Schizosaccharomyces pombe: one gene and its partner. The protein of the gene in region 2 purifies or fractionates together with the protein of the main gene of each other region. This does not show direct contact. Each region holds a gene or a part of one and is shown on either strand. Other genes may lie near its edges.

What was found.
Region 1: the proteins of rec15 (region 2) and rec7 purify together in Schizosaccharomyces pombe (affinity purification with western blotting; one study listed by BioGRID). This does not show direct contact.

The regions. Positions count from the first base shown.
Region 1 is NC_003421.2:1,541,785-1,551,069, forward strand, and holds rec7 (meiotic recombination protein Rec7), read right to left. Parts: upstream 7,286-9,285; coding exon 7,133-7,285; exon of another isoform or gene 7,076-7,132; coding exon 6,962-7,075; exon of another isoform or gene 6,857-6,961; coding exon 6,104-6,856; 3' UTR 5,267-6,103; downstream 1-5,266. Other genes in the region: single-stranded DNA-binding protein Ssb2, read right to left, coding at 5-130; G-protein-coupled receptor Git3, read right to left, coding at 1,397-2,797; tol1 (3'(2'),5'-bisphosphate nucleotidase/inositol-1,4-bisphosphate 1-phosphatase), read left to right, coding at 8,220-9,281. UniProt on the Schizosaccharomyces pombe protein: May be involved primarily in the early steps of meiotic recombination.
Region 2 is NC_003423.3:2,156,067-2,168,554, reverse strand, and holds rec15 (meiotic recombination protein Rec15), read right to left. Parts: upstream 7,069-12,488; 5' UTR 7,014-7,068; coding exon 6,809-7,013; exon of another isoform or gene 6,760-6,808; coding exon 6,422-6,759; downstream 1-6,421. Other genes in the region: ATP-dependent RNA helicase Prp16, read right to left, coding at 1-2,296; pwp1 (WD repeat protein), read right to left, coding at 2,727-4,277; SPOM_SPBC1711.15C (uncharacterized protein), read left to right, coding at 6,344-6,442; histidinol dehydrogenase His2, read right to left, coding at 7,319-8,638; ppp16 (acylpeptide hydrolase), read right to left, coding at 8,879-10,930; atg2402 (autophagy associated protein), read right to left, coding at 12,110-12,488. UniProt on the Schizosaccharomyces pombe protein: Required during the early stages of meiosis for meiotic recombination.

The DNA of each region.
Region 1 (9,285 bases), on a different chromosome or scaffold from region 2:
TTACTCTATCGACGCTGGGCTGGCTCGATTGATCATATTCATTAAATCCAGCGCCTCCTCCCATTCCTGGAGAAAAAGCGCTATTGAAGTCGGGACCATAGCCCGGCTTGCCAAAAGCATCATAAGCCATGAGCACGTATTATCTCAAATTATGAAAGTTTGTTAGGGTGAATTAAAGAGCGATGAAAAAGCAAATCAACCACTTAAAAATATATCTGCGATCTTTTAGAGAGTGATTTTTAAATAATTGAATATAAAGTTACAGCTGATTCCACGAGTAGTCTACTTTTCAGTGGTGTGTTTAGTACAAGTTACGAGTCGCGTTTCGCGGTGGTGTACCGAAAAGAATAAAATCAAGCAAGCGTGCTTATATACTACAATGTAATAAAATTAACTGTTTTATTTAGAAAACCATCTTACATCTACTTTTTTTCTCTATAACCGTATAGTTTTCAATACAAAAACCTACTAATCACGGGATGCTCAATTGACTTAAAACGCTTAAAGCAATCAGATACTGTGCTACCATTCTGCTTTACCAAATGTAAAGAAAAACTAAAAAATACATTATTAAATTTGTAAACATTAACACATTCATATGTAACAAGAAGGCATGGAACAAATGTCCGACGCAATTTTACAAATCGTATAGGAAGAAAAGCGATTTATCCACAACAAAAGAATAGCTAATGGTGAATGACTATTCGCACATCGACATATACAAAATAAGAACATAAACGTATTGCTATGCACAATCCATCCATTTTATGTATTGAGGAAATATAGTATTGGGGACATAAATTTTGAATATAGTTTTGAAGACAGATGCTTAATGCAAGCAGTAAAATGTAAGAGCATCTGAAAAATGAAAACGAGTGAATGATAGTTGGTAAAGCTGAACATAAACATTCTATATAAGGAAGAATTGTTTAGGCGACTAAGCGTTCCAAAAATGAATTCCCCGAGATGAATAGAAAACTGTCATAGACACAGTACATATATATACATCGATAATTGTGAGCGGCCTTATCAATTTGAAGCAGCCAAGCTTTAAACCATCTTCCAATCCGAGCCTTTTGCCAAGTTAAGTAGTGCCAAAATTTAATACTTCGAAATAAATTCTGGGAAGCGAAAATTAAAGTATGACATATATTAGAGGTGATGCAAAAATGGGAGATATTAAAATATTAGTTGGTTTACCACAGTTGTTTCCATTCACATTCCATTGTCATTCACTGGATGGCTTTAACAAAAAAGGAAGACATATGAATGCAAAGGCTATGAGAAAATTTTAAGAAGTAAAGTGATAATAAAATCGTCATAAAAAGAAATTATAATACAAGAAGAGGAGCTTGTGAGACTTCACCATAAACAAAAATAAAAAGAACAAATCCTTCTATTTTTCCTCACCAAATTTACCCCGCCACCATTTTAAAGTCAACTCCTTTATTTGATCCCAATAACTTTTACTCGAATCTCTTTCCTTCAAATACGTGTAGCCACGATAACAAATCCAAATAAAATCTGACAAGGCAATAAAGATGGCAACGAAGTTGTCTGCAAAGACTGCAACAAATGCGAATCGTTTGCATGAACCAGAGCAGTGCAACGGTTGGGCAAGTATAACGATAATCTGTATTTGAGGGAGAATCCACATAAAGATAAAAATTGCAGGATAAGCAAACAAAAACTTAGACTGACTTAAAATGCGTTTCCGTTGTTTAAGGAGGGGATCATCTTGCATATCATTTCCATATGCAGCCAAAACACTAGAAGCACCATCTTCGTCACTAGTCAATGGACTACTGAGTTTAAAACTCGTGTGATCTTCAAGGCCATTTGTGCGATTTGGACTATCCCTAAAATCCTGTTCGAAATGTATTCCTGATTGATTTAGATTAGCAGGAGTAGACTGCGAACCAGGAGGCAAATTAGGATGCACAGAGGATAGTAACGGTCTCGAATAGGGAGAAGGTTGAGACTGCGAGGAGTAAATGGATTGAGAATTAGATGGAGTATATGTTAAAGTACTGTTGGTGTCGGGAAATGGTGGAAGAGCTACTTGATCCGGAGCGGTAGGATACGAATCAATGACATTTAAAGTATCAAACACATTTGTTTGTTGATGTGAGTATTTCTTGAAACGTTTGATTTTCCTTCTGATCGAGATGAACATGCAAGTTTGTAAAGCAATAATTGCAATACTTAGCGCATAATCAAATGACCAATTCAAACCAAACATGAATCGTACAGGGGTATAGGGAAGGTAGCATCGGGTTTGTAAATTGACAAATGTATTTCTTTTATTGGTAAAAGCAAGTCCGCCAATAGTTAAAGGAATTACAAATGACAGTGTAAACACAGTATGCCGAAAACGATATAGACCCCTTCGTTCAGTATCAACATGGGGGAAAAGCACCAAAAGAGCATTATGCAATATGTTGATAAAAATCCAATAATCAGTCATCCGAACAAGTACCAAAAGAAAAAATCCAATTGTAAAGCATCGATGTTTTGGAGCCCAAAAAAAAGGATCGCTTAATGCTAGACATGGATGAATCATTTGCACAATGGAACGAATAAACAATACAGAAAAAAGAGCGATATGAAATTGTTCACGTATTGTTCGCCGACGAGACCATCGCCAGAAGATAGCAATTAAGCTGAAAACGATAGATATGGCTGAAGCTATAATGACCATGATTCTCAGGTTAGCTAACTCTCTGCGAGAGACAATGATGATGGAACTCGTACTCGTGGCATCGGAAACATTAAACGTATAATCTAAATGAAGCATGAGCAACCTTGTTCCTTATTACAAAGTTTAAACTTCTCTTCAAGAAGACAGGAAAAAAAAAGAGAGGAGAGGAGGTGAGAAAGTAAAAAACAAGAAAAGCAATATCAGAACGAAAAACAAAAAAAAAGACAAAAAAAAAAGGAATACTCCAAAGACAAATCTATGACTTCAGAAATGTTCAAATAGACAAACAAGAAAGCAAAACAGAATTTTCAGCCACTTGGGTAATCAGTCCTATTACCCTTAAGAAGTGCAAAAAATAGTATATCTCGTATATCCAATTACCCAAGATTGCATATCTGACCCTCGATTTTCTATAAATTGCTTCGTTCGCGAATATAAACAGTCTCTTCAAGTTGATGTAAAAAACTTAGCAAACTGGCAATATAGAAGGAGCTCTCTAAACTAAACGAGTTTGTTTCGAATATGAATTTGAATTCCCGTACTTTTATTTTTGTTTCTGTTTTCTTTTTTCCAAAAACAAGCTTCTCGTCTTTACTTTTCAATTAACTCAACTATTCTTTCGAAAGTTGTAGACACACGATTAAACTGTTAAAGGTAAAAGTTGAAATAGTAAATCTACTGCTTTTTCCTTTAATCGTGGCCGACGAAGCAGCTCAAAAGTGATAAACGAATGCAACCAGGAAAGCCGGACGCAAAACGGTGCCGACGATTATTAATAAAGCGCAGTCCCGTCTCGACACTCTTGGCAAGAAGAAAAGCGCAATTGACGTGAACAACCAACGATGTATTGTGCTTATAAAGAAAGCACTAGTGAAGTCACTTAGAGCTCAAAGCCACTTATGCACGTTTTGCAAGGCTCTTAATAGCGTGGCGAACCTTCTTAAGGATATTGAAGAATAGGGAAATCGGAGGCGGTATGGCTTGCAATTAACGCCGTACAGTGAATAAAGCGGTACTAAATCAAATCGGTGAAATTTACCGATAATTAAGGAAAAGACAAATCAATTGAAGGCGCCGTGGTTTGGGTTGGCTGATGGAGTTGGCTTGATTATAAGTAATGATGGCGGAGAGTTGCCGCCTTTGCTGTTGTGTATGAGTGTGTAGTGAATATGCACAAATATACCTCAACGACTAATGGATAAGGTGTTATAGCAAGTACAGTAGTTAAGTACCAATGCGGGATTTTTCTGAAAAAATATGCAAGCACACGGGCTTGACAGAAACACAAGAGGAGACAAATAAACCAAAGTCTCCGCACCTTAAGTCCACAGAAGAAGAATAAAAAAAAAGATCGCAATTGAATTATGTGAGGGGGCCCAGGCGTCAATAGTACAGAGTCGATTGACTAAGTAGATTTAAGATCACAAGCTGTAGAGCAAATCAGAAATTTGCACCTACGCAGAGACAATGAACAATTGTAATTTCAGAAAAAAAAATATCGACAACGATTCAAATTCCGAGTAATTTTCTAGCAAGACTATTGAAGAAAAAATTTCCCTAATCCCTTGATGAGCCTTGTCGCACTAACACAATATCGGCGATGCTTTCACACTCCTAGATGTGCTACCACCAACCATTATAACTTATGAAAAAAATTTGTAGTATCGCTGTAAACGAAATTTTTGTGTAAGAATGACGAGAGTTGTTTTTGCACAGACAAACGAGGTTCGGACGATCGGCCTATTTTTTAAGTACGATAGTGATTAGTATAGTATATCGTGAGGAGCAAATACAATCGCATAAAAAAAATCAGGGTGAAAAGAATCATTTCAGAGTGCGTTAATGAGAAAGTCCTCGTTATAAAAGAAAAAAAGGAACCGATGATTTAAAGTTATTGATGGTTTTAAAAAACAGCGTTTATTTTTACAGTGTTTAAAGTCAAGTCAATATTAGGCACAAGAAGAGGTCACACTTTATTTTCAAAAGAAAATGGATGAAATGCAACTCCATGCGTTGCGATAAGCGTTAAACACCAATCTAGGAAGCAGTCCCTCAACAGAAATGAAGCGAAAATCGAATGATGGTGAGAATAGAATAATAAAACGAGCCCCGGTAAATTGAAAGTTGATAGAATCAAGTTTCAATTAGGGGTAATGAAAACGTGCTTAAAAATAGGGAGTAATGTTGTAGTTACCAAAATGAACAATTCGGACCAGACCAATAAATATTGTCGAAATAAAACAAGGAGTGTTAAATTTTATTATTATGTCTTTATTCTCCTTGGAAACCGGTTCGTCCACGTGAAGAGAATTCTATTAGCATTGTCGAAACCGTTTGATCCGGTTATGCCTTCATATCTTTGAAAACATTTCCGCCAATTCCACCAAGTGAAAATCACAATATCGTTAGTCGGTATTGTCTTTAGGTTTACTAGCGGGGGCGTTTTTGTTTTGAGGAAAAAAGAATATTCTCTGGTTTCCATCTACCTTAAGTGCCGATTAGGCAGATAAGCTAGATTAAGTGAAATGGGAAACGGGATTCATTTTCCATTGACAACACTTTTAAACATTATTTGATAATTCGCATGCAACCCTTCAAAGTCGATTCGACATTTTAAGGTTTACTTCACGGACATTGAAATCATTGTGAAGCTTTGTAGACTGTTGTCTCTCTCGGAAGTACCCAAAAAAAAAAAAAAAATCCTTTTTACACTCATAACGTTCTAGCTGTTTCATCCCTTTAAAAAATATCATGTTTTTTTTTTGGTGCTCGGAACATTTACTTTCTCCACTTGGTTCGTCTATTTTTGAAGTTAAACTAACTATTTGACCATTTTCGTACTTAATGTCATGAACTCCTCTCGTGGATTGTTAAGTCAATTATCAAAACCAACCACCAACTCAATTTTAACCGTTGTAACCTGACCCATTATTAACACTAGTATTCATGCTGTACTTGCGGCAATTCCCCCATCAAAAAGTTTTCAGAGTTGTCTTTTGATACCGATTATGTGTCGTGGTGGAGGCTTACACCCCAAGGATCGGAACGGGATCTTCTCAATTTGATTTTAATGCTCTGCATGGACAAGCCTAAGGGAAAAGAGTCATGCAACAAGTAGAGAAATTTATTTCAACATTGTTGTGTTGGCGGTTTCTGTTTGCTAATCCTCAGCAACGATCATATGCAGTTGAGATCTCGACCAACTTTTCGTTAAATAATGTCAAAATTTGCAACAAATGTTTTATCACGGTACTCGAAGAATGTGAACTTAATGAAGTTTCTCATTTGGTTGCCAAATTGTGGTCACACATCAATTTTGTCGAAATAACCATTCCGATCCTGATTTCGTTCCATTTTTACTACTTTTTTAAATTTGGGATTAAGTTGAATTGGTCTGTCTTCCTACATCTTGTTCCATACCCGTTCCAAACTTTGACATAATTGGATGAAGCTGTCTTGTTTTAGATAGAATAATACCTTGGAGCGTAATTGCTTTTCCTCTTCAGTAAGTTCTGTTGGTAGGATTTGTGAAGTCGTTGGGGGTGATGGAATCAAATTTGCGTATGCTTGGTTCTCCGGTTGAGCAACCCACGAAGCCTGTGTCTGAGAGTTCAGCGGCGTAGCAGCAATAATGGGGTATTGTGAGTTTGCACCGTAAGAGTAGGCATTACGATTGGGATTAAAAGGTGATGAAGTTATCACCACGTTTTCATCCCAAGTGGGTTGTTGTGACGCAGTAATACTTTCAATTGATGTATCACTTCGAAGGGGCATTTGGGTCATGCCCGCATCCCCGCGGAATCGCTTAAGCGGTGGTGTATTGGAGAAGATTTCAGCATTTGGCATGACATGCTGCAGTGGTGCTGGATTGACATAGTTTGTGCTATTGTTCACAGCAGTTGTTGCTGTTTGGGTCATGGGGATATAACTCGGTTGTAATAAAAGATTTGGCTGTTGCGCCGATGACTTGTTATATGCATTGTTCATCAACGAAAGTTCCTGTGAGTTATTAGATTGACTTTGGGAGTTATTGAATTGCTTCTTCTCAGAGGAAGACTTTGCATCTTTGAACACCAGGCCTAGCTTCTCAAATTCAACTTTGGCTTTCATATAATGCACGTCAGATGGGAATTTCACTTGAAATCTTTTCATCACCTAAATTTATTAACAACAAAATACGCTTCATCAACACTCCATTTTTTTTTTTAAAAAAAGAGGCCTCAATGTGATTTTGAATAAATCTGCTTTTGTTTTACTTACATTATTAGTGAAAGCACGAATATTCATACACGGAGCGCGTGAAAGCAGAGTTAGACATTTTTCCTTCGTTCCCGGTATCAATTGGTGCCAGAGATCTAACAAGTTTATACTTTGCTGTTTGTTTGTTAAAAATATTGAATTTTTCTAGCAATATGGTTTCATGTCGCGTACAATTAATTCTTCGTGTTGACGAATTTGAAGCAATCCAGACGTTAATGAGAGTGTAAAACCTCCATCTGAATAATGTGACCAGTTGATATGGGAGGAATCTGTAGTATACGAATCCTCAGCTACAGAGTACTTAACAATTGGGAAAATGTTCATGTTTGTTTATGTTTGAATATGAGAAGACGCGTTAGACTGAACCTCATTTATCTGATAACGCAGTACGTTCCGTCACGGTGTATTACTTTTGTTTACATTTATGAGTTGACCTGAAAACGACTAGACTTTATGGAATGTAAGTCTTGTTATCACAATATATTACATATGATTGTAATTTGCCATAAGGAAACTATTTCTTCAATCTGTATTGAGGAATATCTGATTGTTCATTAATTTCTCAAGTCTCTTCAAACAACAGTATTTTGAGAGAAAGGAAATTTTATGAGCAGTTTCTTCTTTTACTAATCAATCCCTTTAAAATATTTTTATGCCTTCATTTCATCCTTGGTATCTACACTTATATAAAAATTTTAGGCATATTTGCCTGTTAAAGGGAAACGCAAGATACGGACTTGCACTGCTTTTAAATTATGCGTTTTTTCCATCAGAATGATATTTTTTTTCCTTAATATTATATTTCATCCTTTCTCCATAGGTTGGAAGGGTTGGCGAACTGCTTTGCCAATACCCAGACTTTAGTAGTGTCGTTTGTATAATTAATGAAAACCTAAAATGTGGACATGGAGAAACCTGTTTTAAAATATTAACATGCTCTTTTCACAATAGAAACTACATAATCATTATTGTTTAATAAAAGTTAGCATAACCTGCGATTTTACAAAAAAAAAAGGTCTTTTAGTCAGAAAAAATGAAACTCTTTCTCGTTTCATAACAATTTTTTAGTTCTTTCTTCTATTTGAACAATATTTTTGGTTAAATGTGGAAACGTCAATTAAACACCGTATATGCTGATTTCATATTCTTCGCACTTCCACTGCCCAGGTTTACAAAAATTTCCAAACTCCGTGTTAACAGGAAATTTGGTGCTAAAATCATACCTCCATTAATAAATAACATTAGAAAATTATTTACCATGAGCTTTGATGCCGAAAAACAATTAGCTATTGCTGCTGTGCGCAGAGCTAGCTATTTGACCGAAAAAGTGTTTAATCAACTTATCAAGGAGAAGAGTGCTGCTGGGGCACTTACTAAAGATGATAAATCACCTGTGACTATTGGCGATTTTGGTGCTCAAGCTATCGTAATCTCTATGTTAAAAGATGCATTTCCCAATGATCCAATTGTTGGCGAAGAGGATTCCGACTTTTTGAGAGAAAACACCCAAACCTGCTCTCGTGTTTGGGAATTAGTTCAAGAAACTATCCAACATGCTACTGAATACAAAGAGCTTGGTCAAATCAAGTCAGCTGAAGAAATGATGAGCATTATTGACCAAGGATCATATCACGGTGGTCGCAATGGTCGTATGTGGACTTTGGATCCCATTGATGGAACTAAAGGATTTCTACGTGGTGCCCAGTATGCTATTTGTTTAGCTTTGATTGAGAATGGAAAACCTGTGGTAAGTGCCATTGGATGCCCTAATCTTCCATATGACTTTAATCAGCCCGAGACAAGTCCCAAAGGTATCATAATGTCCGCTGTTCGTAACCATGGTTGCTTCCAGTATTCTCTCCATAACGAAAAATTAGAACCAGTTCAAGTGCACATGCAAGATGTTCAAAACACCAAGGATTCAAAATTTTGCGAAGGAGTAGAGGCTGGTCATTCAATGCAAGGAACTCAAGAAGAAATTGCAAAGTACTTAGGGATTACTCGTGGACCTACCAAGATGGATTCTCAAGCCAAATACGCTAGTCTTGCTCGTGGTGATGGTGACATCTACCTTCGTTTACCAACCAAAATGACATTTGAAGAAAAAATTTGGGATCATGCTGGTGGTTCTCTTCTTGTTGAAGAGGCTGGTGGTGTTGTTTCTGATATGTTTGGCAAACCTTTGGACTTTGGTGTAGGAAGAACTCTTAAGAACAATAACGGTGTTATAGCCGCCTACAAAGGTATTTTTGAAAAGGTAATTGAAGCTACTGCAGCTGTAACATCTAAAGACCCTCACTTTCAAAAGGTCGCCCAATAATCTG
Region 2 (12,488 bases):
TAGTTGCGACCACAACCTTTCTAACACCTGGCTCGGCGGAATCAAAAATTTTTGCTTGTAAATCCGCAGGCATTTGTGAGTAGATAGGCAAAATGGACAAGCGTGGTGCATCATGCAACTGATTTAACCTATCTGCAATGATCTCGCATGTAGCTTCAATATCTTCCTGCCCTGTCATAAAAACTAAGATATCACCTGCAGGCTGAGAGAGGTGAATCTGCAATACCTGTCGTACAGCTGCTTCAACGTAATCAGAGCAAGGGGCTTTAGCAAACATAATATCCACCGGGTAAGTACGACCTGGAATTGTAAACTGTGGGGCGCCTCCAAAAAAATCAGAGAATTTCTGGGAATTCATAGTAGCGGATGTAACGAGCAACTTGATATCTCTTCTCCTGGATAACACCTTTTTTAGTAAACCCATTAAAATATCTGTATTAAGGGATCGCTCATGTGCTTCATCCATTATAATGACGCTATATTTTTCTAGATTATTTTGCATCAAGGATTCTCTTAGTAAAACACCGTCAGTCATGTACTTAATTACGGTATCCGGTCCAGTAACATCTTCGAAACGAATTGAATAACCAACTGTTGAACCTAGACGAACACCCATTTCCTCACTAACCCTTTTTGCAACTGACATGGCGGCGACACGACGAGGTTGAGTACACCCTATCATGCCATTTCTATGATAGCCATCCTCATATAAGAATTGAGCTAATTGGGTAGTTTTACCAGAACCAGTCTCACCAACTACAATAAGAACTTGGTTATCACGTATAACAGAAAGAAGCTGTTCACGCACGGCAAAGGCAGGTAGGAACTCTCTTTGTTCTCTATATGATTTCGTGCGAGCGAACTCAGTATCCTTCTTATTCGACTGTTCAGAACGTCCAGCTACTTTAACAGGTGTGGTACCGGCCTTGGCATCTTCATCATTAGAATCTTTGAGACCCATCACGTTACCCAAAGATGTACCAGCAAGGGATGTAGCAGCACTTGCTGCTTTTTGACGCTCCCGAAATTCTCTTCGTTCACGTACAAGACGAGATCCTAATCTAGCATTTATTGCAAGGTCGCTTTGTGGATCTCGAACCGATGTAATATCACCGACTTTCTTAGAAGAAAATTCGGCCCCATCCAAAAAATGAGGACGCAGTTCATCGACAAGCAAGTGAACACGCCTCTCTTCCATAAGGGAGTAATCAGATTCGAGCCCTGGAGCTTTTGAAACACCAGATGTGATCATTCTATTTTTTTCCCACATAGAATTTTCTTTAAATCTGTCTGATGCTTCAATTGACAAATGCTTTTTCTGCTTTTCGATAAACTCAGCTTCATGTGCACGATCTTCGACAGTTTCAAAATCGGAGAATGGATTGTGAACTTCATCGCCAAGTAAATTTTGCGACTCGGAATTCATGTACCAATCACGATCCAAGTGAGCTTGCTCCTCTTCCCAACGTTGACGATCAGCTTTACTCTCGGGATCTTCTTCGGGGTACTCAACGTCGCGGGCATCCCAAGAGCTGTGTGCACCATAAGAATAATCACTATCGTGCGAATATTTAGAGCTATCGACGTCTCTTCGAGAACCATTACCAAACCGATTTCTGCGTTTTGAGGATAAAGGTTCTTCCATTTGAGTTCGATACCGCCGACGATTAGATCCATTGGAAGACTCGAAATTACTTCCAGACCAGCTAGAATAAGAATTTCTACGATATTTATCATCTTCACTTTCAAACTCTTGATGATCGTCAACAGATGACCGTTGACGAAGGGGACGAAAATGTTTTTCATGTGGATTTTTAGGTCTCTTAAATTCCACCCTGTCATAGTTTCCTATAGACTCCAAGGAATCATTTTCTACTTGGGATAATTCAGAGCGCCCTTCTACTTGAGATTTCTCTTTCTTTTTTTGAACAGCAAGAACATCCAATCCAAGCTGGGATTTTTTGGGTTCTCGGCCTTTCAAACCAGAACGATTAGACAAAACTAATCCAGCTACCTGAGACCCATCATTCCCAGGAAGTTTATCTTTAGAAATCCCCAAATTTGTCTCTAAACCAATTATAGATTTGCATAAATCGTAAATAAGGACGCTGTCATTATCGGAAAATCGTCCAAATGTATGTAATGCATTAGAAAACTCGGTGCTGGACGAGCTACCCTTGGCAATTGTCAAAACTCGACTGGCAAGCGATGTAGCTGCATCTTTACTGGACATATAATCAGTTAATTTATCTATTAACTTCGTAAATAGCAAATCATTTTGATTATGTGAAAGCATACCTACTAAATCAATAAGGTTGCTGGCGGAAGGCGAACTTACTCAGACCCTCCGGCCCCCCAAAGGTGCAAAATCATGAACCTGAGTAATTGACAATTAACAATTTATCAGTACTTCAATGTTTAAATAAAAATTGTCATATGAATTAAAAGAATTGTTAGGCAAAATTTACCAAGTAACGGTAAACCCAATATACACTTAATGCATACATTTGCTACTCCACTAATGTGGATGAATTTACTAAAGTTTAAAGACCATCATACACCAAATCAAATGAAATTTATTGTAACTAACCTGATCCCTTTTTTCCAAATATTGAATTATGCAAAAAATCCTCTATACAATTAGTGAGCCCTTTAAACCCATGAAGCGGCCTCTTAGGAGAGTTTTTGAAAACATGAAGCTATAATCTTAAAATAAATCAAGAGAATTAGGACATCTCAGCATCTTGATCATCATCGTCTTCTATATCTTCATAGTCATCATCATCAGAAGAGTCCTCCCCGGCACCTCTGTCTTCTAACTGAACGATGCGCTCTTTTTTAGTAACTTCCTCAGTAACTCTACTTTCAAACGCTTTTCGAACACCAGGATTAGTTGCAGTGTCCCAGACACGAACGACTCCTTTGCTTCCGGAGGCAGCTAGATGGAAAGCAGTTGATTCGTCCGTAGTAAAGGAGCAAGTAAACACACGTCCAACATCCAAATCTCTAGAAACAACCATCTTCGGTGAACTATCGGAAGTGTTCCAGAGTTTAACCACTCTATCAGTGGAGCCTGTGGCTACAAAAGAAGGAACCGAAGGATTAACACTGAGACAAGAAATAGGTCCATCATGGGCTTGCAATTGCCAAACGGACTTTGAGAGATTTCTAGCATCGCAATAATAAACTATGCCATTATCAGTGCCAATGAAAAAGTTGTTTTCGCTATGTTGATCCCAGGCAACATTTTCAACATCGCTAGTAACTTGAAAACTCGATGGAGCTTCTTCAAGGCGAAGGTCAGCTATTTTTGCAGTTTTATCATAACTACCTGACAATAATACGGATGGAGCTTTGGAATACCAATCTAAGCAAGAAACTTTGTCAGAATGATACGTGAAAGATTTGACACAATTGCATGTGCTCAAATCCCACAACTTTAGTGTGGTATCTGCAGAACCAGAAACCAAAAGATTGTGAGCATTTCGGTTCGAAGAAAGAGCAAGAACAGCATCTGTGTGATAACTATCATTTATTTTTTTAGACTTCTTCTTTTTCTTGTTGACTTGAGAGGCACCTGCACCCAACACGGCTGCAGGGTAAACTGCATCAATGATGTCTAAATCCCATATTTCAATTTCAGGATCAAACGTGCCGACAGCAACGTAATTTCCAGGAGCGTTGTCAGACGTACCCACCTTATAATCTAGCCATTCGAGACACAGAGGAAAGGTAGGGAGAAGAAAATCATGATGCACGTAAAGATTTTCCTCTGTTGGCTCATATACATACACTTCAACGTGGGACAAGTTATCTTCTGTGCGCGCAGCTAGCAAAAGGCTGTCTGTTGGTAATATTTGCATTTCCTCTCTTTCCAAATCGTCCTGTTCCTGAGGATCAATAGTGATATATGGATCTTTTTCTCCATTTTCATGGTAAGCCAATCCACGAATGTTGCTAAACATAGCAGCGGGCCCTTCTGTCTCAGCTTCCTCCTCATCGTCATCGTAAGTATCCAAATTGTATACTTTCAATTCATCATCTACCTCTTCACTTGTTTGCAACACCCCTTCTGCTCCATCTGTAGTTTCTTCACCGTTCCCATTGGCTTTATTTGAGTCTTCCATAGAAGATTGGAGATCAGCTCGAGCATCCTCGAGCTTTAACTTTGAAAGCTGATTAATTCGCTCATACTCTATCTCATCAATATCGTAACTCTTGGGAAACTCTGATGCATAACCGCGAGGAACAAAAGCCACAGACGAGACTATTGACATGTTGCACCTCTCTTAATATTTACTCCGCAAATCTTTACTTTAATGTTTAAACCAGAAAACACACCACTCTTGATCTAAACGAGATTAAAAATTTAAAGATTAAGTAAATGTCAACGTATTGATACGAGTAAATAATGGCATAAATCGTGCACCGCTACTTGGGAAAAGAAGAACTGAAAATATTCGTGTCTTACAAAAAACGTTATTTAACCGTTTAGCGTAAACCTGCGTTAAATTAGATTTCAAAACTTAAGAAAACATTTTTCTTCGACCAAAAGGCCATAACGTTCATGTAGATAAACTAAATGCGTTAACTTAATTTACGTCAACAAGTATTTTTACTCATCGTAAATTCAAGTTAATGTCAGTTACGCAATTTGGTATCTGTTTAATGATACATTGAACTACGGCGAGTATTTCTTACGAGCTACGATGTAACGGTATGCGGTATGTTAAACTAACTAACATGTAAGCTACGCAGTTTGGTATCTGATTTAAGGATACGTAGAACTGCGGTGAGTTTTCCTTGTGATCTATTATATTACAATACACAGGTTGTATAAGTAGCAACTGAGAATAGGTATTGTATTAACTGGGTTATAATGTTACCTATCACTAATATAGCTCATAACTGAACCTCGTTCCTCAGTTCAGCAGTAGCTCTATTTATATTATTCAGATAATATAGATCTTAATAGATCATCATTAAGATCAATCTCAATATCGTATCATACATGGTACGATATATAATTAGAACATGTGACATATAGTGATACGCAAGTAGTGTATCATAGCGTAGTGTAGTATTGCTGACATAACAATATTTATTTGAGAAATCTAATAGCATCGGTCACTAAATTTTTTAGTCTTTCTAATATTTGTATTTGTTCTCACTGGTGTCTAAGTAAAATTAATGGATCTTAAAATTTGTTTCCAACATATAAAATCAGTCGCACGCAACACAGTGTAAACACTTCTAACAGTACGTTGCATAAGAATACTAAGTTGAGTGAATTAAAAGGGCGGTAACAATATGAGTGTCAGAAGCATCACATTAAGATGGAGTTTGGAATTTTTGGTTTTTACTTAACTTTTAAATGATTTCAAGATTGAATAAACACAAAACAATACTTTGAATTTTATTAATTAATTTTATTGAATTTTTATATGGAGAAAAATTGCAATACTAGCTTCGTTAGAAAGTTTGTACGATAAATGCTACGGACGTATATTTGTGTATTGCCTGCTGTTTTCGTTTAATGTTGCAAAGAACACAAGTCAACTAATTTGCCGCAGCTCTAACTGCTGTAATCTATAAAGTTCGCTATACAACAAACGAACACAAGGAAACAAATAGTCACCTATAATTTTCTCTTCTTAAATTAGTCTTAATTTTTGGACTGAAACTTAAACAGTAAAACGAATAGCTTATAATATGAAAAGTTGTTTTAGAAGGGCAAAATGTTAGAAAAAGTTATCGATTACACAACAATAGGAAACTACCCTTTTACTATGATTTTGAGCAAAACCAGTAAACCAATCCATAAATCACAATATGTAGCTTTATTCATGCTTTTATCTTTTTTTTTTAACGAAAGCTTATGTTTAATAAGCTCGACTCTCGTATAGTTGATAAAAGCCGTCACGTTGTTTCGAAGCTATAAATTTGGCAAACCGCTAAACGTACGTAGTGCCATCAACGCTGAAAACAGCTATATTAGTGCATATAGATAATTTCGTAAAAATCTTTGAAGTTTTTTAAAAAGGACTGTCTATAAAAAATTTCAACTAGGTAGGTATTCAAAAATGAAAGAAACTGAAAATTCCTTGAATTCTATTGTGATGACAAAAGAAGAAGCTTAACATTTTATATAGGAAGTGCCGTCTGAGAGTTCTGCTCGGTGACCAAGCTAATTCATTCTGAGAAATCTTTGTAAACTCAAGGGGTTTTAGTATTCAATCATTTGGGCTTTCATAAGTCTATCAACAGTTTTTGCTCATTGCATACTAACAGCGTTTAGGCAAGTTTAATATGTGCTGAAAGTGAATATATTGCATCGCTCACTATGAAAAAACGGTTTGATTGGTGTTTAATTTTAATTGATATCATAGAAAAGCTTTTAAATGAGGCTGATCTAAGTATTTTAATAATCGTCATCTGCTAAGAAATCAATAGCCAGTACTCGCTTTTTCGTTGTTGTATTACTTCTGGGCATAGTTTGATTTTGTACTGTTCGTGTTTGTTTAGTAGTCATATAACGCTTTTTCAGCTCTGCATCTAGCTTTTTAGTGATTATAGTCATCTGGCTTGTGCAATCAGCTAGTGTTTTTGTATTACTGTTCTGTTCTTTTTGTAAAGCTTCAAATTTCAAATTCATATCTGACATGGTCTGTTCCAACTTATTGATACGACTGGCATAATCTTGAATCCCTAAGGCCACTTGCTGCATAGACATGTTTATTTGATTCAAAGATTGTAGTACTATTAAGTCAGACTTCCAACCACTTGGGAAATTCTAAATCTCACTTACCTAGTTGAGAATTTTGTTGTTGGACTTCACTAATAGATCGTCCTAGTTGACCGATCGTTTGATTAACTACCTCTTGTTTGGTATTCATTTCAGCCAAACAACTAGCAATTTGATTGCTCTGTGACTTTTGATGCTGTTGCATATCTTCGGCTTGCATTGCCAACTTGCGAGACCATAATTGAGCAGCTGAAACTGAATAACTCATTATTTAATGATCGTTTCCGTTAAAATTCCCGTAACGCTTAATTGCAGGTTTGGTTAAAGGGAATGTTCGTTTTCACTAGAAAAAAGTCGAGACACGCGACGCGACACCAACTAACTTCAGGTTGAATTAATGGATAATTACTCAGTATATTGGATGCCCATTCATACTATTAAAATTAAATTGAAAAATATAAAATAAAATAAAATAAATCATAACCTAAAAATACTTTGTCAAATTTAGTACCAAACACAAATTTTATTTTAAGCCGAATCCTTAATTAGGTATACGTAAAAAGGAAACCCCTTTCAAAGTCTAACTCCCCGAACACGAACAGCATCGGCATGCGCAGTGAGACCCTCCAACTCAGCAAGACGAATAACAGTAGGGCCCAACCGCTGGATTCCTTCTTCAGTGAGCTCTTGGGTAGTGATATATTTTAAGAAGCTATCGGTACTAACGCCAGAATAAGAAGAGGCGTACCCGTATGTAGGAAGCGTATGGTTGGTACCAGACGCATAGTCACCCATACTTACAGGTGACCAAGGACCAACGAAAACGCTACCAGCATTATCTATTTTGGGAATGTATGAAGAAGCATTTTTTAAGTGCAAGACCAAGTGCTCAGGACCATACAAATTAGACCATTCAAAAGCTTGATCAACATTGTCAACCTGTACAATAACCGACTTCTTGATAGCATGTTTGATGATATACGAACGAGAAAGTCGTAAAGCGTGATCATTAATTGCTTTTTGAATACGGTCAAACATTTCGGGAGATAGAGAGACAGTCAGCAAAATGATCTGACTGTCCAAACCATGCTCTGCTTGAGACAATAAATCCAAGGCAACACTTTCAGGATTACAGGTCTCATCTGCTATTACCAAAACTTCTGAGGGACCAGCAGGAAGATCAATAGCAACTAAAGCCCCGTAATCATTCTGAACATGCATCTTTGCAGCTGTAACAAATTGATTTCCAGGGCCAAAAATTTTGTTAACTTTAGGAACACCGGATATTCCATATGCCATGGCCGCAATTGCTTGCGCCCCGCCTGCCAAAATAATAGCCTCAGCACCAATTTTATTTGCAATATATACAATTTCAGGCGCAACCGTACCATCCTTTCGGACTGGCGTAGAAATCACTACATGAGGACAGCCAGCTACCTTCGCCGGAACTCCAAGCATCAAAGCAGTAGATGGCAACACTGCAGTTCCTCCAGGGATATAAAGACCAACTCGGTTAATAGGACGAGACATCCGTTGACAGACTACACCACGCATGGTTTGAACAGCAATTGTAGGACGCAGCTGTGATGAATGGAAAGCAAAAATATTGTTAAAAGCAATATCAATATCCTCTTTAATCATTGGGGATATTTTCATTAAGTCGTCGTCAAACGGAGCCTTTAAGACAGCCGACTTCAATTGAACCTTTTCAAATTTGGAAGCATAATCTATTAGAGAAGCTTCTCCTCTTGATTTAACATCCTCGATTATCGGTTGGACAATCGTACGAATTTTTTGAGTGTTCTGAATGGGTCTTGCAAGTAATCGTGTACGTTCTTCGGCGGTTAATGCAGCAGCTCTATAAGAAGGCACCTGAATCTCGTATTCCGGCATTATTAAGTAAATTAAAGGTAGTCAAGTCTAAATCGACTCTCTAAAAATTTAATGCAATGTTGGCTAAGGAATGGCTGGATCGGTGAATACTCGATTTCCCTTACAGCAAAGATCTAAATTTGATATGTCTTCGGATAAACCGCGGTTGCAACTTTTTATCCGCGGTAATAGAATTAACAAAGATCGAGAGAAACAAAAAAAAATTTATTAAATAATCGTAGTTGTATTATTAAAATTAATCTAAAACGTTTCATCTTCATTGGCATTACAATCTTTAGTATAGTGAAGAATCCACGAAAGCACTTCTTTATGCCAACGTAGGGAATTATCAGGTTTAATGACCCAATGGTTTTCGTCTTCAAAGACTAGTAATCTGCTAGGAATTCCCTTGTACTGCAAAACATTGAATGCGGCTATTCCTTCACTTTCGGTAAGCCTGTAATCCTTTGAGCTATGAATTACAAGTTCAGGAGTGGCCCAATAATTCACAAAATTTGAAGGATTCCAGCGCTCATAGATAACTCTGTTTTCCCAAGGAGTACCCCCAAAATCGTGAATAGAAAAATAAAGTTCTTCAGTATTGTAAAAAGTATTGAGGGTATTAAATACCCCGTCATGACATACAAGTGCACGAAATTGACGACCTAAAGGGTGTCCTTGAATCCAATTAATCATGTAACCACCATAGGAAGCACCTAAGGCAACCATTTTTTCAGAATCAGCATAGGAAAGATGATTTTTTATGTACTCAACACCAAGTTCAATATCTTTATATGGCTTACCACCCCAATCAAGAGCAATGGAATCGGTAAAACGTTGTCCATAACCTGTAGATCCAGTAGGATCAAGAGCAAATACAATAAAACCAGCATTAGCAAAAACTGCAGGATTCCAGCGCGTTGACCAACTATCTGTCCAAGAACCTTGAGGTCCCCCGTGTATAAGCACTGCTACAGGATATTTTTTAGATTTATCAAAACTTTCGGGCTTTACAATCCATGCATGAATTCTGTGACCATGAGTGCCAGGAAACCAAATTTCTTCATAAGAAGTTGGCGATAATCCGACATTGTTCTCGAGTAAAACACTTTCGTTTAACGTTTCAACGTTAATCTTTGCGTAATAAGGGGGATTGATTAAAGATGACTTCGTAAGCCATAAGGAAGAAGATTTAGGGACACTAATAGAAGAAACAGAGTGTTCTTCTGTCATTGGGATAACTTGGTGGTGAAATATAGAAACAAAAAACAAAATTTGCTTCCCATAATTCTCAGCAATAGCAAAAAGACCTGGTTCGCCTCCTTTGAAAACCCCCCATTCAATGCTGGAAGGCGATCGGTCCCAATGACGAGCAATGTGCTTTTTAGCGCCTGACTCGGACTCATATACCATTATTTGATTTTGATCGCTTTCGTACTGTGGTGTTTGCATTTCAAGCCATGCAATATGATTTCCATCTTTGGCTAGTCTTGGTGAAGAGCATGCACCCTTCGCAGTGCTCAATGACTTCAGATTCCGAGTGTTCAGATTAATCTCGTAAACAACTGTCTTTGTTTGTGTTGCCGGATTTAATTTCGGGTCTTTTGCTACAAAGACAAGTTTGTCGTAGTTAGAATCAAAGTCAGAAAGACCTCCGAAGGGTTCGACAGGAGATTCCAAGCCAGTTTCCTTCAACAAATCAATAGCTTTTTCTGAGGAAATTTCAAAATAATTTGAGTTTTCCGTTTTTTTATCTAGCTCTATAAAATAAAGGGTATTCCTAGATCCTGTGTTCCATCTATCCCAGTGTCGAACAAACAAGTGATCGTATACGTGAACATTTGAAGGTCCCTTAACTAACGAATTATCCACTGAACTAAAAACGATTCTATAGTGGTTGTTCTTTTCTCCGATCCTTATATCAGATATTGAAGAGTTATGATTATATATGATACGCTCTGATCGATTGTTAACGTCAAAAAGAAGGATACTCGATGAGCTAGAATTATCTTCTCTTGCATATAAAAAAGCTGAATCAGTAATCCATGTGAGCGCTTTGTTTGATTTGCCGTGTACTAAAAGCTCTTGATGGTTTCTAGTGCTTTCATTCAAAAGGTAAATTCCAGAGTTATATTTGTGATCAGCAAAGGAATAATTCGATTCTATAAATATTCCAAGATTCCCTAAAGGATTGCTAACTACTGCTGACCTTCTAGGAGCTTCTAGCATGGATTCCGCATCAAATGCAGCCTTGTCAGCTGCAGTTAGCGTCATTACCAGGAAAAAAACTAGCTGCTTGAAAAGACTATGCATCCAAAAAAATATATTCTTTGACCAGAGTGAGGTGAATTCTAAGGAATTTGCATGAAGGGGAAAGGAAATTTATCTTGCAAAGATTACCAACCCATCTGACGAAGATATGATTATATATGATGACTTTATAAACTCCCAGCATAGTGTTAGCGTGCAGCCCTTTGTAAAGCGTTGGGCTGCGTTTGTACTGATAGGTGATGGTTTAAATTCATGTTACAATAATAACAATTTCTTTATTATTGAATATTTCTAAAACAATTTTCATCAGTATATTTAACTTGAAATACCAAGACATCTCAACAAAACATGTTATTGGGCAAATAGTCATAGTGAATATCTGCTAACTTATAATCTTTATCCTATTAATGTCAGTTATGGTAAATCTCTGATAATATTTGTTTAAATAGACATCATTTTATAGTCTTATAAAAATTTTACAGATCTTCAACTTCTACCGAATAATGAGAATTGAAGAACTTTAATGAACCCATCAGTTATTTCTAAAAAGTATTGTAGTGTGTGAAGTCCTCATCAAAAATGCAAAATTCAAACCACTCAATTGAAATTACTTGTATTATTATATAGATCAATCATGTTTGAGAAGCATAGTTTGAGATATAAATCACTGTCATCCTTCGGACGGAGATGACTATAATCTTATAAAATTAAAGCAGAACAGGGAAATGCATATACTTAAAAAAAGGCACAGAAGATTTTATTGTTAGTACAAAACCTATACTGTTGATAATCCCTCTTTACTGAGCTATATTTTTTTAAAGCTCAGAACAAAATAAAATCTATGCACAACAGAAAGAAGTAAGTACGAAGGAGACATCATCCATTCCTTTAGCAAAGAAAGAAACAATTCCACGTTGGGAAGTTTAAAGTTGTCTAAGAATTATAGAAATGTCATTACATTTTTGCATTCCTTGTACTTTAATTTGAGAACATGAGCAAATTTAACGAAAATTAATAAGTCATGTTTTCGACTGCATAAAAAAGTAATAAATTAATCTCAGATTCGTAAATTTTCATTAATATTAGTTCAAGTCGCATAAAAAATATCGTAAACATCACACATTGTAAAACAAACGTTAAAGCATCATACGCCAAGTTATAAAACACTTACTTAAAAACTCAAAAGCCTCTATACAGTAGTAGGTTAATAACGAGGAACTATTATTCCTTCACGGCATGCTGCTCAAGAATACCAGAAAAATATTCCACATGACAATCGCAAACCATTTGTAATGTCTTACGCATTTCAACATCGATACGTTCGCGTAGAAAATTTAACTCTTGCTCAAGTTTTTCGTTGAAAATGCATAATTCTTGAAACGATAATTGAAGCAACTCCATGGGATTAGCATCGTCTTGACCTAATGAGTACCGCTTTTTTTTAAAAAATTTTGGAATACTGAATAAACTCGAGGTACGTATAGTAGTGTTGGGCGACGGTTTAAGCTCAGGTGTCTGCTGCACAACGGGAGTGGCTTCTACAAAGTTTGGGTCAGATCGTGATGATTGATCAGGGTTATTAGAGTTAGATTGAACGATT